Nothobranchius furzeri: one gene and its partner. Each later gene encodes a partner of the first gene's protein in a complex. Links are inferred from orthologs where the notes say so. Each region holds a gene or a part of one and is shown on either strand. Other genes may lie near its edges.

Region 1 (3,754 bases):
TCTAGCTTGGCAAAACGACGTGTTCCCATTTATCTATTTTTGTGTTGTTTATTGGACTAATTTAGGATCTTTGCGACCATTTCATGGCGTTTTCATTGTGCATCGGCCTCCAAATAGTTTGCATGGTGAGCCCACTCAGTAATCTGCCCATGATTACACACTGTACCAAATCAAAATGCTGTCATTGTTTGCAAAATAAGTATTGCGCAGATTCTACAGTGTGTACGGTAACCAAAGGAATGTGTCACACTGATGTCAACTTGTTATTTACTTTCCAAATCTGAATGACTGAGCAAGGCGAAAGGAGAATTAATCAACCACTGTGTGACCAGGCAGGCGAAAAATAGCGTTGTGGGGGAAGGGAAGTGGCTTAAAGCAGGCCAGCATGCTGGAGTGTACTCAGCAGTGTGCTTAAACTACAAAACAACACACGAAAGCAATACAATAATATGTAGCAACTTGATACCATAAGCAATAGGAAATGTAGTTTACTGGTTAAATATAAACCCTAATTATAGAACTGAGTGATAAAAAATGCTATAGTTGCGTGTTTGCTTTACAAAACGAATGATTAAAGAAACACGTTATTATATCATGGCGTGTGGTGGCCCAGTTTAGCTAATTAAGTCAGTAATTAAAGAAAATTCCGTGTAGAGTATCCAGGTTTAAGGTCAAGCAGCCTTCACCCCACCTCCCCCCCTCTCGTGCGAGTCTCGCGCTGCTGAGTGTCTCTCTCCGCTCCCGGTTCTCAGTGAACGGTGAAACTCCACGGAACAGCCTGCGCCCCACAGCCACAGAAACTCGGGCTGGTTCCAACTTTTTTTTTTATTCCTCCTCTCGTGTCCGCCAGTTGTGACGGTGTCTGGGGCGAACACGCTCTGGTGGCACAGCAAAAATAAGCCGACAGTGAGTCATACTGCGCGGTCGGAACTTGAAATATGACGATAAGCAAGATGGGAGGAAAGTGTTTTCTCGCTTACTGAAGTTGGAGGTTCTCCTTGTGGAAGAGGAAGAGGTGGCGGCGGACACCACGAGTTCACTCTCACAGTAAGAAACGGTAAGCCCGGAGGCTCGAGGCGCGGCGATGCACTGTACCCGGACTGTTCCGTTCTCCCAGTTTGGGCTTTATTCGAAGCAGATAACGACTTTCAGAAATAGATGGATTATGGCGTAACCGGCTCGCGCTGACTCCACACGTGTGTTCCAATTCCTAATTGCGTCTTTTAATTTTCTCCTACATTGTTGCAAAGCCCAACTTTTTCTGCCACTTTTTTTAAATGCTCAAATTATGCAATGAGTCTTTGGAGTGCTTGACGAAATACACTTTTGATATGTTGTCCCTCTTTTCCAAGTAGTAGTTTCATCTATTTTGTCCACATTTGTAATAATGTCATCAACCAGCACATGCAGTTGCATATGTTGTTGTTTTAGGCTTCTATTTGAATGAAAGCATTTAAAATGGTCATGTTGAGTTAGGAAGCGCATGTGTGTGTGGGGGAAGGGAACGACTTGTGTTACTGTATAACTACAATGTTGAGCTGTACCTGTCAAGCTGCTGTAACAGTTTGGCCCAGACACGAGTTTATAACAAACCTGGCGTGATATAAAAGCGTATACATTAATAAAGTAATGGAGGAATGGACTTACACCTTTAAAATCAGGTCCAACATGGCCTTAAATTCTCAGTTTGCTAATTGAGGCATTAGCACAGTGTGTTGTTTGTTTTAACCGCACTATCCCAGTAATCCAAAATATAACTGCTTATTTAGTCATACACAAGGATGTGTTGTTGATTTCAAAAGTGGGGGGAAACAAATGGCTTGACTGGGGGGGGGGGGGGGGGGAGATCCAAACTGCCTTATGGCAGTGGAGGGGGGGTCCTCCCCAATAATGATCAATGTCTAATGTATTTTTTTTCACTTGACTATGTTCAGCCTTTTCTCAATAGTTGTGTGCAATATATGTGCAATATTGTATTGCACCTTTTCATTTTACATTTTTATGCAGTCAAAACCTGACCCAAGTGACCAATCAGCTGTCCATCTTTAGTAAGGAGACCCGTTGGTTTCCCATACATACGATTTAACAAACCACTAGTAATTAAAACTAGGGATGTCCCGATACAACTTTTTTACCTCCGATACAATACCGATATTGCAGCCTTCAGTATTGACCAATGCCGATATCAATCCGATCCGATATCAGCACCAATCATACTTATCTTTTACCTATTTCATGGTGTGGAATATATGAAAGGCTTAATCATGTGATATTACTCAATCGGAGAACAAGAGTATGAAAACTGTTGGTTGCAAAAATGTGAACCTTAACGGACTGCTTATATCGGAGATTTTTGGTGCAGTCCGATATAAACCGATAGTGTTTTTGGGCTGATAACGAATTACTTCCATTGCTAATTAAAATTCTACTTATATGCACCTGAAAGTAGTAGTGGAATTAACTATTTGTAGCACTTCCTGTTTGATGCATGATATTCATATTTATGCCAGAATGATCATGTGATGCAACATTGATGGTGATGTAAAGGTTTAGAAAAGTTTGTATCAACCACTTAAAAAAACTTATTAGAGGTGAATTCAACTCATTCTCAGGTTGGTTAGAATTATCTTGCGCAGGTAAGATATTGACTGTTCATAACATTTGTACATCACCTCAGTTTGAAAGATGTAAACTATCCCTTTAAAATGTTACACCATCCTCTTTGTTCTTACAATCGGGAGTAGCCAGGGGCATTTGTGAGGCATTTTGCCTAACTTATCTTTATTACCTTTGGCTAGTAACCTTTATTGTTTCTGTAAACACTCAAGCAATCAGCATCATGCTGCTTATTTACATATTACAGCAGTTCCTTCTTTTGTACCAGTGTTGTGTGGAGAATTTCATGTTTCCATTGGTTAGTTTTCAAAAGTGGGGTCTAACTAATTGCGTTGGTCATGCTCCATTTTGGACATCTTTTAGTTTTCTTGAATTGTGTTAACTGTACGCTGAGCACTACCATTCCTAAAGGACAACCAAATTGTATCGCCATGATTCATTCCTGTTGGTGACCTTTTTGTTTAGGAAGGCTTGAAATTGCACAGTGTACACCCATCTTATGTTAGTTTCTTTATGCTCAGTGGGTCTGAATTATGTTCCTAGCCTGCTTGAATGAGAGCAGATGAAATTTGTGGTTGAGATGACCCAGATGTCTGTCTGGGTGTCGTGTTTCAATCGCTGTCAGATGGAGCTGGAGCTGATAAATGTCTTCACTACTGCAGTCATTTGACACAGCTCTTGTGCATATAGTACCTTTTTCTACTGAAGACAAAAGGCCAATTTAGTTGGGGGGTTGTTGTTTTCTGTGGTGTACAGTTTAATATAAAAACATTGTCCAGCCTTACACAGTTTTAAAAAAAAGCCATTAAAATCTATTGATTGCAAGGAAGCAGAACTGAGCTGTATGGGAGTTTGTGTTAAAAGCAGAAAGCCAACTTCTGCGGAAAAGTAGGGCAAAGAAGTCCCCAAGAAAGCCTTTGTCAGTCTTGTGGTGCAACAATGCTCTGTTCTGAGCCATCCAAATATTTCTGTAGCAGTATTTATTTATGATAGGCCGTTGGGGGGAGGTGAGCCTTTCTCCACCCCCCTCAAAGAGGTGTGCAGTGTTCATGGGCAACCAGCCAACTGGCACATGAGTGGTTACTCTGAAATTACGCCCATACAAGTAGTGGCTGGTTGAAGGCCACAGTTATGCATT
Region 2 (3,281 bases), on another chromosome or scaffold:
CCTTTCTATGTCACATGGGCTGTAGAATCAAGAGTTATAAATTAAATATTTCAAAACACTGAAATGTAATTTTTCTTCGCCTATAAATACGTTTATGGTTCCTGACTCCGCCTCCCCTTTTCTCTCTTTCTTCCTTGCAACTGTTTCAGGGGCAATCAAGACCAATGGAAACGAAGGGAGCTAATGACTCGTCTGCGTTTTTTTTTCATTCTCTCCAGTTTTCTGACCCTCCTGTGGGCTCGGTCACAGTTCACGTCCCGACTACGTGATCATAAACCAGAACAGGTGTGCATATTTAAAATAGATGATCACCTTTAGAAAGAAGAGGGACAGTGTTTTCTTTTTATTGATCCCTGATTTATGAAGGGCTTCATCTCCAGTGGAGGTCTGTTCAGCAGGCGGATTCGTATTTCTGCACAACACCTGGTCTGAAGCAGCTCCATCACCTGGCGCCTATGCGGAACAACGCAACCTTCCTTTTGTTTTGTGTCCAAAAACAACTCCTGGGAAGCTCTTTGCAGAAACTTTGGGAAGAAATGACTCCAACCTGGAACAGATTTGTTTTCAGAGCAGCAGTTTACTTAACCAGGCCCGACTTTGCAGGACGTCTCTGTGGGCAAACAATAAAAAGGAAAGAATGGCAAAAACAGTTGAAAAGTGATTTGTTTATTTAGCAACATTTAAGTGAATAATTCCAAATAACCCAACTTTATTTATGCTACAGCTGGTTTTCCTCCAAATCGTGTTACAAAAGGTCATCCGAGGACAGACAAAAACTTGGGACAAAGTGTTTAAGCTTAACTAGTTAATGTGTGCGGGACCAGTCTCATTGGTCTAATTCCAATCATTTATGGAGAAACTAAAAATTCTGGGTCTGTAATACAGTTATTTTACAAATTTACTATTTAAAAGTGTAGTGAGAACAAAAAAGACAAGTGCGAGTTTGAGGACTTTAAACCAGAAGCGATGAAAGCTACTGTACAAACTTTACATCAAAAAGGTTTAAAACATCAAGACCAGGTCCGACGGCGTCTCCAGAGTGTCCGGGAAGCGGATGCTGAGGGCGCTGTGGGCTACTTGCCATGGTGGTAAAACCTCTGCCCGCTCTGGCTGTGGGACAGGAAGCTGTGACGAGGAGTGCCCTGCGGAGAGCTCTGGAAGGGGGCCTGGTCATAAACACAAAACAAAACCGCCTAAAAAAAGGGCGATGTTTCATTTATAAACATGTCAGCAACAGAAAACTGACGCGTGACCTCCATAAACCTTTACCACGTACGTTTTCCAACACAGCCTTGTTTTGGTAACATCAGGACATCCCTGCTGTTACTTATGCTCTTGCGGAAACAGATTTCCATCTAAATGACTAAGTGGGAGGATTAAACATTACATGAAATATTGGTTTTAAGACTTTCGCTGTTAGCTTAACGGTCCTGTCCGGTGTGACCTTCATTTCTCTGAACTGAGGCTGTTCAGGGAGATATTTACAACAAGAATGAGAGGTGGTGAATCACTATCAAAACCTGAGCCACATGTTTACAACAGAAACAAAGTCCTGTGTAAACACTACTAATGGGCTGTCCGCATCACCGTTAACCCAGCACTAGCCAGCTGAGAGGTGACACAGCGGGGCAGATTGTTGCTGATTTTTACATCACTGATTATAAGAAGCATAAAACAGGTGGTGGAAAGCGTGTGTTTATATTTGTATGGTTCACCTTAGCAGTAGGGATCTGGACCATAGGTGCAGGCAGCAGACCTTGGGCTGAGGGATGCATGGCTGAGGGGTGCATGGGCCTCAAACCGCCCTGAAACATCAACAAGACACAGAACCAAAACACTAAACAGCAAACTCAAGTGCAGGTTGGAGAAGCTGCTGTAGTGCGGCGTTCTTGTTTGAAGGGGATGTACTGTGACTTCTGTCTTAAGGTGTAATAGTCTATGGTCTGCACTAAATCCCTCCCACATAAAGATCTTTCAGCTGTTTTATTCTTGATGGTTTCAGTTCCTTCCTAAATGAGCCGTTTCAGGGCTCTGTCACTTTAAGAAAACAAGCTAGTGGGCCACGACCACCCACCCCCTGATGAGCTACGGTTAGGTGGGAGGCTCCGACATCCATGGGAGGCTTGTAATAGAGCCACTGATCCCCCCGCAGCACCTCTCTCTTGCACCTGAGAAGTGGCTCTATTCTGGTTTTCCTGTTGTGACATCACAAATGTGAACTTTTGGAAACAGCTCATTTTAGGCACATAATTCCTAAAACCAAACACTGAAAGAAAACGGATGGAGGTTTTATTTTTCACATTTGGGGTGTTTTTAGGGCAACAGCAGTAGCTCAGGAGGTAGAGCGGGGTTGTCGAGTAATTGTAGGTTTGCAGGATCGATGCCCCCCCCCCCCCCGCAGAGAATTTAGCTGCTGTTTCCTTGAGCAAGACACGTCACCTAAAGCCAGGCGGACACTGTGCGACTTTTTCACTCGTAGCACTCAGCTTCAGCTCTAACTGTACGACTTCCTCGCAGGGCAGATCTCACGAGTCATGCGCTCACACTGCACGACCCAGTTCTCGGATACGACCTGACTGCTCACACTGTACGTCTGGTAGCAACAGGTCGGCCCAAAAATATGCTAAAAATAGCAGTTTTTACACAACACGTCAGACTTTTTTGTCTTGTTTTGCCTGTTGTCCTTCAGGAGTGCTGCAGGAGGACGCACAGGGATTTATGGGGGTTGGATGAGGAAAACGAAATAAAGAAAGTAAATCTGTGTTTTGTGATCAGTTTAATTTGACATGAACACGACAAACACGCTTTCTTGACAATCTTTGTGTGTAAAAAACGTGTAGAAATTAAAACGGACAACGTGTGTTATTAGGGAAATAGCGAGCGAACGGTGTTGATGCAGGATTGCGCATGCGCCGTGAGCGGTTCTGATACATTTTGGGTTGCAGCTGCTCGCAGCGCCGCTTCAACAGTGCGATACCCTCACGAGGGACGAGCAAAATATTAAACACGCCAGAAGTCCGTGCGAGCTCACGACTGCTGATCGGTAGCTGGTCACGTGGTGTTAATCGCCTCTCGTAACCCCCTGTACACTACACGACGCTCGGCGCAAAACTCGCCCCGATCTCGTGGATTCTCGCACGACTGGAAAATCGGCTCAAAAAATTGAAAAAGTCGCACAGTGTACGCCCGGCTTAACTTGTCTTTGTTGGTGGTGGTCAGAGGGGTCGATCACGCAAAAAGGCAGCCTGGTCTCTGTCAGACTGCCCCAGGGCAGCTGTGGC

Evidence for each region.
Region 2: tbl1x (region 1) and gps2 share a complex: the UniProt entries of both Homo sapiens proteins name them as parts of the N-Cor repressor complex. The link is inferred for Nothobranchius furzeri from reciprocal best matches to the Homo sapiens genes TBL1X and GPS2.

The regions. Positions count from the first base shown.
Region 1 is NC_091754.1:23,373,032-23,376,785, reverse strand, and holds the start of tbl1x (F-box-like/WD repeat-containing protein TBL1X), read left to right. Parts: upstream 1-916; 5' UTR 917-1,057; intron 1,058-3,754. UniProt on the Homo sapiens protein: F-box-like protein involved in the recruitment of the ubiquitin/19S proteasome complex to nuclear receptor-regulated transcription units. Plays an essential role in transcription activation mediated by nuclear receptors.
Region 2 is NC_091742.1:53,242,109-53,245,389, reverse strand, and holds the end of gps2 (G protein pathway suppressor 2), read right to left. Parts: intron 1,806-3,281; coding exon 1,716-1,805; intron 1,167-1,715; coding exon 1,074-1,166; 3' UTR 651-1,073; downstream 1-650. UniProt on the Homo sapiens protein: Key regulator of inflammation, lipid metabolism and mitochondrion homeostasis that acts by inhibiting the activity of the ubiquitin-conjugating enzyme UBE2N/Ubc13, thereby inhibiting 'Lys-63'-linked ubiquitination.